2 linked regions of the Neurospora crassa OR74A genome follow. The protein of the gene in region 1 binds, or shares a complex with, the protein of each later gene. Links are inferred from orthologs where the notes say so. Each region holds a gene or a part of one and is shown on either strand. Other genes may lie near its edges.

Region 1 (6,952 bases):
TCGCTGTTGATCCATCGGACTGCGCTGTGCAGCGGGGTGTCGCCCTCGAGTCGGTTGACGGGATCGCATTCAAAGCCTGGTTGGTCGAGGAGCATGTCGATTATCTCGTAGTTGCCACGGAGCGCGGCTTCGTGGTAGAGGTGGTTGCCCATCACGGTGGTCGTGTTGTTCAAGAGGGAGGAGATTTCTTCGTCGGATTTGTCGGCGAGAATTTCCGAGAGGAGGTCAGTGTTGTTACGCCGGCAAGCTTCAATGAGCTGCTCGGAGATGGAGGCACCCTGTATTTTGGGGGGTGAAAGAAGGAAGGGTTAGCTGGGGTTGTCTGTAGTATAGCTGTTTGCGCGAGAGGGCGTAGGGCGGGTGAAACGGGGGATAGAAGAGAGAGGGTGTTAGTTGGGGGTAGAGGACGCTTGTGTGGTACGAACCTCGTGTTCTTCGTCCTTTCCGGCCATGGTTACTGGTAGGTCACTTGTGGTTGTCTCGGAAACGGCGGGTGATGTTTCTTGGTTGTAGGAAGAAGCACAAGTAGCGAAAACGACGGTGAAAGCGAAGAGGGATGACGGCGAGAGTTGTCCAAAGTAGAGAGGTAAGATTGGCCTGGAATTGCTAATTACGAGCGGGAATCGTGGAAATGGGTCGGCGGGGGAGAGTGGATGTACGGTATGGAAGTGGCCAGGCTGTCGAATCAGGTAATCGGTCGATTCCTATAAAAGGATCGGGATCGCGTAACGCTCAATGAGGGATCTTCGGGGTAATAAGAGGGCGGCGAACGACTGTTTGTAGGGTACAGTGTACTGTATTCTATGAGATATCTCCAGTCGTGGTGGTGGTGGTGGTTGTATGAAGGACGGGATGGAAGCATTCCGTACCTCTACCTAACGGGCTGGTTAGGAGGTGGCAGTGGCAGTGTCGTCTTCCCTTGGTGTTACAGAATGGTCGGCTCCTTGCGGGGCCCGATCAGGACGCTGGCATTCAGATGGCATGCGCTGAGGCCCAGCTGCATGTCAGTGAGTAGGTACGTACCTACCTTAGCACAGGCACAACAGAAAGGGCCGTTGGGTCCAGGCACCGCTGACCAAGTGTGGGACAGTTGATGATGCAGATCTGACCAATGAAAATTCAAGCGCTACATTTAAGGTTTATAGAATTAACGGACCGCATCGAGCTATAACACTTTTTTTCAGGCCATCGCCCCTACACTGACTATTTACACTCTAACAACTTATATCACTACCTTAAAGCCCAGCAAGTGGTAGACATAAACACCGGTCTTGGCCAGCTGTTTTCACAAAAGGTACCAGCTTACGGCGACGCCTCTTCTCATCAGGATCGTCAACAAGACTTTTGGCAACCGCTCGACTCATCTCACTTGCTATTCATAACGGACGATAACACACAACAAACAAATCCAGTCCCTTCATCAATAGCAAACATGCCTATCGTCTGTAAGTCCAAGTCCACCCACAAAGGCTAGGACACCGGAACTAAACGCCCACCACAGTTTGCCCATTCTGCGCCAACCTCCTCATCCTCTCCCGAGCGGACACGGGTGGCAACAGGCTCGAGTGCAGAACCTGTCCTTACGAACACCCCATCGACAAGCCCATCTACTCCCGCAAGAACTTCCCGCGCAAGGAGAAGGAAGACGTGTTTGGTGGTCCAGGCGCTTGGGACAATGCACAAAAAGGCAAGGTCCAGTGTGACAGCGGAACTTGCAATGGCAACGAGGCAGCCTTCTTCCAGGTTCAAATTCGTAGTGCTGATGAACCGATGACGACGTTCTACAAGGTAAGAAGGGGATTGCAGACTGATGGGATAAAGTAAGAAGCTAACATGTCTCGTAGTGTATGACTTGCGGGCACAGGTGGAGAGACAACAACTAGAGGAAGAAGACATGTTCAGCACAGGTCTGGTCGGATCATCAATACATGGTATTGGGGGCATTGCTTGGCGTTGGGTTTTTCTTTTGTTTTTGTGTAGTTGCATGTGAGGTATTCTTCATCAGAATCAACTTGTGCGGTACTGGCCTGCCAGAGGCTACTTCCCACTCGTTTCCATCCCTGGCATCATTCTACCCGTGCAACTTATGCCGTGCTTGGAAAACTCTCTCGATGCCAGTCGATTCCGGCCTTCATGCCCTCTAGCCTGAGACGCTCGACCAGGTCTGGGCTGATGATGTCCTGCCTGAACTTTTCCTGCTGCAGCAACTCCAGGTTCTTCAAGGTAGGCCCAGGGTAGGTGATATACTTGAGGTAAGGTGGGCGGCTCCAGTACTGGAGATAGTCGAGGTAGGCGATGAAAGCAGGATTGCTGAGTAGCTTCCTGGACGCAAGATGGTTCAGGTACAGCGGGTTGCCAAGTGCTTGAACAAACTGAGTGTTCTGTTAATACCACGCACGCTGGATGATAATGTGTATGAAGCCTACCTCCAGTTCGAGTTCGAACCGTGTATATCCTCCATACTTGGGCTCGTCTGCCCCTGATCCCGGAGGCGCAGGTGGCTCCCTTGCTGAACTGTTTACTGACATGGGATCGGATGCCATGACGTAAAAAATGAGTGTTTGTTACAGTGTTCCAATCTGTGAATGAGCTGGATACCTAGGAACGTGTCTAGATGTTTGCGCCTCTTTGTCAAGTGAATGCGATGGGCAGTACAAGTAGACGTGAGCAGTGGCTGCTCTTAAATGGTCGTTTGTGTTGGACGAAAGCCTCAACGGCCCGTGAGTGCCCGGAAGGAAGGCGAGACTGTTTTGTTCCACCAACAATTCCTCGAGGGCGGCCCGGATGTGGCAAATTAGTGGGGCAAGCAAGCGGAGATGGCTCTGTCCCTGCAGAAAAATCAGCGTGTAACCGCTATAAATACTCAGATCAGCCCTGTAACTTGCTTCTGCAGTGACAGTCAACCCGACAACAACCTGGAACCTAATTGTGGAACCCAAGGCCGCTTCCGTTGTTCCCTTCCAGGGCAGGTTGGACACGCAGCTTTATCTCAACACCAACCCAACATCCCACGTTGACGGCATTATCCACGTTGACGGAATTATCTCATCTTTCTCACTGCTACAAAAAGCATTCGATACTCGGTGTTCATATCTCATTCATAACGACAGATTACGGCAAATAGAAACGCATGAGTATCGCGAGTTGACTAGGATATCACCATGGCTTCTCCTGAAGCTTCGGCCGTCAACGCGACAGGTACTATCCTTCCATCTCCGGTTCCAGATGCCACACCATACACTTTTCATTGGGAGATGCTCCTTAGGCCAGAAGTTCTTTGGTTTGATGCTCAGGTTATCTTCGGCGCCTTGGCTGTAATATGGCTTGGTGCTCATGGCTCCCTCCGCCGACCTCCCTCCGCTGCCCCACCAGAGTCCGAAGACAAGGACGAGAAGAAGAAGAAGTCAAAGGAAGACGAGCAGTTCACGGAAGGACTGACTGCCTCTGATGCCATCATGTTTCCCATTCTGGCCGGCGCAGTTCTCATTGGGCTCTACTATCTGCTAGAGTGGCTTAAGGATCCCAACCTGTTGAACAAGATACTGCGAGGTTACATGTCTTTCGCTGGCATTGCCGGCCTCGGCAAGCTGTCCGGGGACGCCTTAGAGATTCTCACCAGCTTGATTTTCCCAAGTGTATGGTCAGATCGCAGCAACAGACTCTACTACGTCGATCCGAAACGCCGCTCTCAGGTACTAGTTGACCCAACGACGAACCAGGCCATGATCACCGACAAGAAGTCGCCTTTCCCCGGTGTGTTTTCCATGGTTCGCCTGCCTCCTGGAATCAACAGACTTGCCTGGGAGATTCGGCACCTCTTTACGGAGAAGTGGACAGTCCGCCTTGCTGCCCATGGCGTCGGCTCTTTCAAGTCGCAGATCAAGTTCAACCATCTACTTGGATTCTTGGTCTCAATCGCGATAACTACTGCATATCACCTTGTTCAGTGGCATGTCCTTTCCAACATTCTTGGGGCTGCCATGTGCTACGCTGCTTTTGGCATGCTCTCGCCCACGTCTTTCGGTATAGGTACCGCTGTTCTTTGGGGTCTCTTCTTCTATGACATCGTCATGGTGTTTTACACGTATGTTTCCACCCATCTTTCAGCCAGGACAGCTATCCAGTTACTAATCCATTTTCTACAGTCCGTTCATGATCACCGTTGCTAAAAAGGTTGACGCCCCAATCAAGCTGGTATTCAAGAGTTCGTCCGGCTTCAGCATGCTGGGACTCGGAGACATTGTTGTTCCTGGCTTGGTCATGGCACTCGCCCTTCGCTTCGACTTGTACATGTTTTACAAGAGACAAATCCAATATCAGCCAGTTGATGCGTCTTCCAAGCAGGCCTCATCTACGGATCAAGCAGCTAGTTCTACGAACGAAATGCAGTTCCGACGAACCAAAGCACCATTCGTGGAATCAGAAGGTCAATGGGGCAACCGCTTCTGGACCACCAAGCTGGGCAACCTGATGCCAAACCCAGCATGTGGCGCGGTCGGAGCTGCAACTGCTTTTCCCAAGCCCTACTTTTACGCTTCGGTAGCAGGTTATGCCTTGGGCATGGTTTTCACCTTGACGATGCTCCAGGTGTTCAACCACGGACAGCCCGCGCTGTTGTACCTGGTCCCTTGCGTTACCGGGTCCGTCTGGCTGACCGGTCTGATTCGCAGGGAACTCAAGGATGTGTGGGGCTATACCGAGGACGGGAGTTTGGACACAAAGGACGTCGTTGTTACGTTGGACGCCGATGGAGATGAGGTCAGGAAGCCAGCGAGAGACAAGGATAATAAAGAGGCGAAGGATGGTGATAAGGGTCAGAAGGAGGCAGAGAAGGAGGAAGAGGAGACATCCCAGGAGTACGATGTCGTGCTATTCTCTATCAAGGCTCCCAGGCCCAAGCCTCCAAAGACGGATTAGTCATTTAAGGTAGCCAGGTCTTTGAATCGGGCATGATGCTATTGGGATAGAGAGCGTATGGAGTTTGGGTTCGAAGAATACATAGAAGGTAGAAGTGCATGCCACTCAGCGTCATCATAATATATCCGGGAAAAAAGAAAAAGACACAATGACCCTGCCACACTTGGACACTCGCCGGGCGTTCATGCTGCGTCTCAAAACTGGACTCACTGAAACATATACATTGACAAAAACAAGAAGAAAAAGAAGAAAAAAAAAAAAAAAAAAAAAAAAGACCATGTCACCATTTGAACCCCGCGACCTCTGTCTTCTTTTCCCATCTGCTCCCTCAGCTTCGATGAGGATATGAAATTATACCCTAAAAAGAAAGCCCAACAACCGCGCACTTAAGCAGCACACATTTGTTAACCGGCTCAACGCTGTCCCTGCCATCTATTCTCTGTACTTGTCATTAACTTTCAAGTGGACGCGGCCTGACGATGTGGAGCCTTTTTGAGTTACTTGAATGTACATCATTGTTCCCGAACCAACAGGTGAGTGAGTATTTTGGGGCCAGGGAGGTTTGAGTTTTTACAACGGTAGACCGTTGCGCTAGCTGACCCAGCGGTGGCGGCAATCGTAGTTGCTGATTACCTAAGGAGCTTATATGTTCGTTTGTTAGAGGATCAACTTGGGAAGGAGCGGGAGGTTCATAAGTAGGTACTTCTAAGTACGGGGGCCTGATGGGACGGGATGGAATGTTAATGTTTGCTGTAGTGGTTATCCTTACTGTCAGTCAGTGTTGCACCTATAGGAAAAGATCCTTTTGGATGGGTATTTTAAGAATTCTCCATGTGAGAGACGGGAATTGATGATAGTGGTATATTTGTAAACTGTAACGGCGTTGTGTCCATAAGCTAAATGACTGTCCGTACCTACCGATTCCTTATGTACAACTCCAAAGGATATCATACTTGCTGTCTGCTGTTTATCCCCCTCTGACCTGATCAACACCAGACACCATCCTACCAGATCTTGTATCTCTCTACATAAGGAACGAACGGAGTTCAAACACCCACTCTCCAGCAACAGCAACAACAGCATTTACACATACGACCATAGGCACTTGGAGAACTCGGGATCCCGTCTGATCTCCCATTGATAAGCCAGTGACCGCCAGACTAGTAGTCGGATCGGTGACGACCGGCGAATAACCTGGTGTTGTATGTCTTTGTCTTTTTTTGTTCCTTCTCTTTTTGGTCCTCTACCTTTGACTCCTTCTCTTGGAGGAAAGTGGGATGTGCGTCGAAGGAATGAGAAATGGGTACTAGCCATGGAACAAAAACAGCTGGATGTCTTTCTGTGGATCAAGTTCAAAAACATGTTCTCGCCAGCTGCATTAAGTGTCTATTCTGACGAACTGTGAATGAGAATCCGTTGTGCCCCACACAAAGACTATAACGCCGTCACCTCTCAGGCCCTCCCACATTTCCTTCCTAGATCACATGGGGGCGATGATGGTAGTGTTTACAGATGAATTATAAGATCAAATTTACCCTCCCTTAAGAGATCAAAGAACAGGTAGCTGGGTAGGCGTCAGAGGACACTGTTACCTAGGTACGTAGTGCTTTAAAAGGCAAATAGAACGGTATGCAGTACGTATGAAAACGTAGTATATTTGGAGAGATCTTGATGAGTGATGTATTAAAGTTCTTACTTCACTCTGGGGTTCCCCCTTCCTTATATATATTTTAGGCCAATCATTAGTCCAGTGACAAGCCGTTGATACCATTACAATTACCATTTTCCGCTCGTTTTAATGGTACTTTTGTTTGGTCAAATATGTCAGACGTGGAGGCTGGAAGCCGGATCCGAAATATGTAGTCTTTTTCTCAGCTTCTTTCTTCAGTACTACCCCATATAATTGTCATACAAACGAAACCGTTTGACGGCTGGAGACGTCTGGTTTTTTCCTTGCAAGATTGTACATATGACTTCGTACGACTGGTGTTTGAGATCAGAACTCGATCACAAAGGTCGAGAATACCGCTGAGGG
Region 2 (7,277 bases), on another chromosome or scaffold:
CACATCTGTAGCGAGAACATACTGATACGGTCCTCACATTCCATGATATCATGACATAACGTGTTCGTATGTTTGTTCAATCTGCTCCCTCAACAGTAAGCGTCAAACATAGCTCTGCAAAGGAGAAAGCATCTTATCTTACCCTCTCCCCGTGAACGCCTCTTCCCTCTCCCGATGCGTGCTCGACAAAGAGATGTTGTTGGTATCATTATCGCGGCGCTGAACAGCCGTTCGTCGGCCCCTGGCTTCTCATTGTTTCTCCACCACATCTCAGCCTTGAAAAAAGTTGCTTGTCCCTGCCGTCCCTTTTCAATTTTATAACCTCAAATCCGTGCCTCCTCCTCTTCAATCACCAGTAGCACACCCTCTGCACCCACAGCTCACGCACTGCACATCCTGGCCCTCCTTCAGCTCGGCCTTGGGCACGCGGCAGATGCACGTCGAGTTGAAGTTGGTCTCCTTGGTCTGTATGCAGCGCAGGCAGCAGAGCTTCTCGTAGCCGTTCTTCTTCCACTTGGCGATCAGCATCGCGTCCGCGTATCCATTCTTGAGCAGCCACTCGTACAGCTGCTTGCTGATGGCCTCTTTTTCGTAGTAGAGCTCATAGATGTACCGGCTCCGCTGGTGCGAGATCTGGAAGATAGGCCATTTGGCCTGGTGCTTGGGTATGTTGTCCGTCGGGGCGTTCTGTGCGTCCTTCATCTTGTTGGCGAAGATGAGCAGATCCTCCTCAATGTCGGCAAAACCCTCTGGGGGCGGCTTGCGCTTCGAGGCGGGGCGAATGGCTGGCATTTTGAGGTCGTCGCTGGTCCTCGGCCTCGGGATTTAGTAAGCGGTGCTTTAAGTAACGTGTTTTGCGTTGCGCTAACGTATATACTCGGAAGAGTATCGGAGTGTGTGGTGATATCGCAATTGTTCGGTTGAAGGATGGAGAACTTCAAATCTAATGAGCTGACCAGAGGAGAGTGCTGTGATCCCCGGCGTAAGTGCAGTGAACTGGCTCAAAATTGCCTGCCAGAAACGCCTTGGAATTGTGGCGCCAACGTCATTGGCCTCTTGTAGTTGTGGCTAGTGCTATCAGCGCCCGCACTCTGTGTGTAAGAGCAACTGTGGCTTAGCTGGATGCTACCGACCCCGAGCCGACTGCTGAAGCTACAAGCTGTCATGCGAACGACGAATCGACCGACCCTGGCGAACGGAACGGCGACAACCTCCAAAGGTCCTCAAGTCACGAATTGGCCCAAAATGCCCATCACACCTACCAAGTACGCCATCACCACCAGGCAGTGTAAGTGACCCCAGTTGTACAAGCTGAACGAGTAACTCTGACGGACATTGTAGCGGCAAACTGGAGCGACGCCAAGCGGAGGGTGTTCGCCCTTTATCGGCGATGGCTTCGTTCGGTACGTTACGAGCGAACCTACATAGAACGAGCATTTCCAGCTTTCGACGAACACGTTGGATATCGACGTATATAATGGGAGGAGTGCGAACAATCCCGACCGAGGATTCGCTAACCAGGATATCACATACAACAGACACCCGAGATGCAGTCTATGTACTCACTACCCCTCCCCATTTCGGTCATTCGCACTCGCATCAGGCAGGAATTCGAGCGCAACCGCTTCGTTAACAAGTTGCCCGTGGTGGATGTTCTGCTCACAAAGGGCCATGCCGACTATCAAGTAAGGCTCCACTTCATCGTCACTATCCACACGGACATGAATCAGGGGATCCCCAGAAACGGGCACAGCAGTGGGGTCATGTCCAAAATCTGGAGAACACCCAAAAAGAAGAGGGAAAGGGTTCCAGGCAAGGGGTCAGAAGGGAATATCAGAGCGCTGGCGCATGTTATGCGTCGCGGCGATTCGGACTGATTGTTCTGGTAACTTGACGCTGACTCTCCACGCGTCTATCAGGAAACCATGAACTTTTGGCGCCAGACGACTCACATGATGTCGTACTTCAACGAGGAGAGCTTCCGTGGAGCCAAGAGACTTCCCTCCAGCTTTATCGATGGCTTCCTGCAGGTAAGCCTATACATGCAGCTCTTTTGTCTTTGATGATGGCCACTTCATTGTGCGGGTAGCTCACAATACTCTTCTTTCATCTAGGGTCGCAACTAAGAAGAGTAATAACGAAGGGTATCAATGTCAGCCTTTCCTCTAGAGCCTATGTATATAACGCAAGCCAGATGAACATCCATGGACGCAGCCGCTTGTTCTTTTATCTTCCCCCCTTATCTTGATGGCCACTCACAGCGAGTTTTCCTTTGTCTATTTTTTGTTCCCCCTTGTGATTTACTACCAATTCAAGCCCCAAAACGCCGTTACCCATGCTGGTGAAAATTAACGATGAAAAGAAAGGTGAGAAACAAGAGGCTTAGGCAGACGCAGCGGCCTTCTTATCAGTAAAGTCCTTGCGCGCCTCAAGGAACTTATCCGAAACGACGTCGCAAAGATCTTGAATGTCACGCAGACCCTTGCGGAGTGCCTCGACAGCAGTTGTGCCCTCTGCATGTTACTGTTAGTTCACCTCTGTATTCACAGGTCTCGCTAAGAAGTGGACGAGAAAGATGACGCACCATAGGTCTGAATTCTAACGTTCATTTTGGCTTCGGAGGGATGAGGAATGGCGTAGGCGCAGAATTCGACATCAGGGCTATGAAATGGTGTTAGCACAGTCACAGCTCAGCTCATTAACATGAGACAAGTGAAGCTCCCGGTACTCACTTCTTCATGATGACGTATCTGAGCGCGTTACCAAGGGTATGGTTCTCATCAAGGAACTCGAAAGAAGCGGCCGTGGGCGTAGAACCAGGAAGCTGTGCTCAGGTGTTAGTCTCGAGTCGACATATATTCGTCATGGAGGGTTTCACGTACAAGTCTAACTTTAGTACCCTCTCCCTCCTCATACTCCTCATCTCCCTCCTCTCCTTCCTCGCCCGCATCGGCCATAGAGACATCATCCTGAGCCTCCGGCTGGTGAGAAGTCGGGGTCTCCTTCATGGTAACCTCCTCGCCCTCGTCGCCGAACTTGGTGATCTTGCCCATTTTGACTGTAATGGTTGTTGGTAACGTGAGTTACCGGTAACTGAAAGATGGTTTGGATCTTTGCGTAAAGTTGTTGTTATTCGATTGTGTAAATCCTTCCAGGAACACACGGATGGGTTGAATTCAACAGTCGGCGGCACGCGAGTGGTGAACAACAACCTGACTGAGCCTCTATTGCCTCTGTTATCGGAGAAATTTTTAGCGTGGAAAGAAAGAGTTTATCCGTCGCCAAGAATTTGGGAAATGCAGGGTTTCGCCCCCCAGCAAGAAGATGGAGGCGGCTGAAAGTTAGGCGAGCAGCTACCGACCCCACCTGCTGACGGGCATTGGCCTGCTCCCGCGTTCCATTGCTGAGGATACTCCACCAAGCTGAGATGAGCCTTTGGACTTCGCAACTCCACGCTGGGGACTTGAGGTCACTCGGGTTCAACATTCACTTCCCGGACTCAAGACTCCAAATACTTGACTTCACATTCGGTTCACTATTTAATCGGCCAGTGTTCCCGGAATTTGAATAAGCTCTTTTGGTGTTCACGTATAGCAATCATTCCGTGACCAATATCTTGGGATTGCGAAACTCTCAGGCAAGAACACCCTCGATCACGTTGACGATGAACCCCCAACTCCAGAACCCGAGGTTCCTGGACTCTGTACTACTCAAATCATCACCATTCCCTCTTCAAAATGACTCAGTGGTAGCTACATTGTACTGGAAGGGTTTTAGAGTCATCACAAACTTTACGGTCTCTATGGCATTTGATACGCTCCGCAATTCGAAATCTTGACTTGAGACAAGGATAGACTTCACACAAGGTCGTTATCCGTCTCCGGTCGTCAGAGAATGAGAACCAGATAACTCCAAGCTGGCGGAGCTATGAAATATTGTTTTGAATGTTAGGGAGTAAGGGAAAGCATTTCAACAAGGATCAAGAAAGATGGAAAAGGAAAACAAGTACAGAGAGTGACGCTCGCGGTACACTAAGAGGTGGAATCGGAGGCCATTGTCCAAAAAGTGACACCATGCACACCATTCTCGACTTGGATCTCTGGTACACGTCAAGTATATCGTCTGGTATACAGCAATCCGAGCGTTTCCACAACGTGTCGTCGGTCCGAGCAGTATCGGGCTTATGGTCTTCCCCAGGACAATGTTTCAGTTTCAGGTACTTGACCTTCTATACTGTTGTTAAAGGTTCAAATGACGTAGAAGCGTTGTCTGTATTCTTCTATTTCTTGCCTAATTACTTGTCTTTGGACCAAGTTTAGGTATGCATTAATTATTGCCCGAGATGCGGCGGTTCCGATAGTTGGTAGGCACTGTAGCTGGCCATGTGAGGTGGGAGGTACTCGCTGGGACATGAAACGCCTACTCCCATTTCCTTACATGCATTTTAACTGTTCATCTTCAGTGCGTTGATACTTTGGTAGTGTGAAGTGACGACTGCCTGGTGGGATGGCTACCTAGGTATGTCTTGAGAACAAAAACGGGGGCCTCGACAAATATGGCTTAGCTACCGTTTCAGGACTTATACTACAGTTATACTACTAGAAAGTGATTGCAGGTATGGAGGAACTGTGAACTGCTTGGAAAGCAAACGGCAAGCATACCTAGTATGACTTTTGTTGATTCCTTGGTTCCGTCTCGTTTTTGTTACAGATCGAATTTAATTCAGAAGCTGATCCTCATCCTACTATTTCATCATTTTGAATACAATGGGTGAGCAATATTGCTCTCTCTGTCGACAATATACTTGAGTTTTGTGGCTCGATGAACAGTTCGTATGTTGAGGAGCAGGAGACAAGATGTCACAACGTTAGGAACAGTCTACTCGGACTCTGAAATGCATCAAAGCCAATGGAGTGGCGTAGAGGTAGTTATAGTATCATCGGATTGGTAGAACCCAAGTTTGTTTTCCACAATAACATCTCAACCTCTCATGTATTTTCAATCGTTGCGAACATTAGAAGCTGCAACGAAAGAACATCATGACCCGAGCTATTGATCCTGTTGAATGTATTTCAGTGCCCTCACAACTCGGCAATGTACTTCAACCTCTAAGCCGCAGACATCGACCGATTCCCACTTTGGCAGCCGTTACACAAAATTCAGAAATAGGGGTGTTTCTTCAAGTCACTCATCGCCGGCAGACCTTGGGTATAATCGATATGATCATCATTACCCATCATCTCCACCTTGCCACAACATCCAACCAAAGTTCATCAATTAAGAAGAACAAGTGTGTTGTTTCCGTTGACTAGATGGTTAAAATGATGGAAGCCAAACCTCATGGAAAAAAAAAAAAGAGAGAAAAAAAGGCGACTGCCAGATACGTAGTCAGTCCAGCCGGCTTATCACAACTTCCACCATACCAGCCCGGCAAATAGCCGTGATCCGTCTACCTTATGAGCACGTCATCAGTTCACCGTTCTCTCACTACCCTAGCCAGGGCCAAAATCATCATGTAGAGGTGAGGACCCGTTTGTTCCTGGGGGAACAGTGAACAGGTAATTCCGCGGCTCGCCGAGCCGCAGATACGAAGAGATCACGGGCTAGGTAGGGGCTGGTTACCTCTATGGTGTACAACCTAGCCCTGGTTTGTTCTCCAGTCTGGTACAAAGGAGCCAAAGCTTTGATAGATCTAGAAGAAGCGTGCGGGTTTATATCGCGTAACGGTTTGAGACTGATATTCTCCGGTCTTGAAGGCCTTGAAGGAGATGGAGAGCGATATAAGGAGACATATATCAGAGGATTCTGTGGCATTCCAAACTCTTTGCCACTTGTCCTATGTTACCTACTTTAAATGGATGATGGAATTTCTCATGAAGACTAATAAGAAATCTAAAACTTATCCGTTAAACCTATGACCGAAGAACCAGCCACCAAACAAATAAAAAGGAACCAGCATTGTATTGTAGTGTAGTCCCGTCTGGCTCAAGATAATGCGGCAAGCCGGGAGTGGACAGACATTGTGGGTAGGGGTTCATTGGTAAATGTGTCCTATTTCTGAGCGCGTAGTCAAGTTGTCCACCACGTCGGCTGCTGGTCTTGAGAGGCTGTTGGCAGATCTACGTTCAGTTTGTGGACCTCGTTGTGAAGTAACGTTGTTTCTCCTCTCTTCATATTCTGTACCGTCTCCGTCCTTCACCTGGAAGTAACATGAGTTGTCCTTGGATGGAATAGCTACGGTGTATTCCATCTACCGCAAGAACGAAATCATTGTCTTTCTCGGGATTTTATCCATTCACGAAACAGGGGCATCCCATTCAAGTTGCAGTCTTCGAACATGCTTGCATATATTCCCCAAACCCAGAAGACCCAGCAAGTTAACGGCATGGTTCAGTAATCAAGTATAATGAGGCTCAAGCATGTAATGCTACCAGTTTCATCATACCCTTTTTGGAGGTCTGCACGAATCCACGTTACCGTTGTGTGCTATCTCTGCTTCGAGTGCGGTGTTGAAAAGGGATAAGTCTTGGCTGGAATGCTCGTCGGAAATATCAGCATGCAACGCTTATTAGATGATGCCTGGTGATATCAGAGGGCATCAAATATTGAAGCCAACACGAATTGGTAATTAAACCCTGAAAGCGGGAAGTTTTCGAACAGCCGACAGCCGAATGGGGGTTTTATATGGATGGTGGGTAATAGTGAACGAAACGTCTCCGTATCCGTGAGAAAGACCAACAAAAACTGAACAAGCAATGTTTTCGTGATCCGAACCTCGCTATAGCAACGTCATATGTATCTCTCATTTGAAGAACTTTTTTTCTTTTTTTTTTCTTTGATGACTACCTAACACCGACTGAATGGGTGCTGTGCCAGTGGGTTGCATCTTGTGCAGATTCCTTCTCATCATCACCACGCGAACCATCTGATCCAGGCTGGCCAATGAGTTCCAGTGAGCAGAGTTATAAATGGCAACGAGTTCCGTAAAGGCGAACTCGGCGCGGTCGTGAATCCCTGGATTAATTCATTTGTTATAGATTGGCTGGTGCGACCTTGGCCGAGGATAACGGTAATTGTATGACTCTGCTGTCCAGTCGTTCAACGGTCTGCCCAGACCAAGCTAAGGGCTTTGTGACATGATGGTCGACGGCTTGCTGCACGACATTCATTATTTGATGCACAGACTGTTGCCGGCGTTAATTGTTCCGGGGCCTCGGGGCCGCCAAGGGAGGGATTCCATTGGGCCGACGTTTGTGGCCGTTTCATACCGTCGTAGT

Evidence for each region.
Region 2: NCU00570 (region 1) and NCU00419 share a complex: the UniProt entries of both Saccharomyces cerevisiae proteins name them as parts of the RNA polymerase III (Pol III) complex. The link is inferred for Neurospora crassa OR74A from reciprocal best matches to the Saccharomyces cerevisiae genes RPC11 and RPC19.

The regions. Positions count from the first base shown.
Region 1 is NC_026501.1:7,970,218-7,977,169, forward strand, and holds NCU00570 (DNA-directed RNA polymerase III polypeptide), read left to right. Parts: upstream 1-1,193; 5' UTR 1,194-1,432; coding exon 1,433-1,445; intron 1,446-1,501; coding exon 1,502-1,788; exon of another isoform or gene 1,789-1,844; coding exon 1,845-1,883; 3' UTR 1,884-2,064; downstream 2,065-6,952. Other genes in the region: NCU00571 (hypothetical protein), read right to left, coding at 1-278, 426-452; NCU00569 (SOH1 family protein), read right to left, coding at 2,085-2,372, 2,427-2,543; NCU00568 (hypothetical protein), read left to right, coding at 3,162-4,084, 4,146-4,917. UniProt on the Saccharomyces cerevisiae protein: DNA-dependent RNA polymerase catalyzes the transcription of DNA into RNA using the four ribonucleoside triphosphates as substrates. Component of RNA polymerase III which synthesizes small RNAs, such as 5S rRNA and tRNAs.
Region 2 is NC_026503.1:3,780,992-3,788,268, forward strand, and holds NCU00419 (DNA-directed RNA polymerase I and III polypeptide), read right to left. Parts: upstream 3,268-7,277; 5' UTR 3,054-3,267; coding exon 2,883-3,053; intron 2,825-2,882; coding exon 2,733-2,824; intron 2,662-2,732; coding exon 2,585-2,661; intron 2,514-2,584; coding exon 2,383-2,513; 3' UTR 2,260-2,382; exon of another isoform or gene 2,127-2,259; coding exon of another isoform or gene 2,115-2,126; 3' UTR 2,031-2,114; downstream 1-2,030. Other genes in the region: NCU00417 (cell cycle control protein cwf14), read right to left, coding at 346-792; nuo14.8 (NADH:ubiquinone oxidoreductase 14.8kD subunit), read left to right, coding at 1,165-1,288, 1,342-1,403, 1,539-1,685, 1,920-2,030, 2,115-2,126. UniProt on the Saccharomyces cerevisiae protein: DNA-dependent RNA polymerases catalyze the transcription of DNA into RNA using the four ribonucleoside triphosphates as substrates.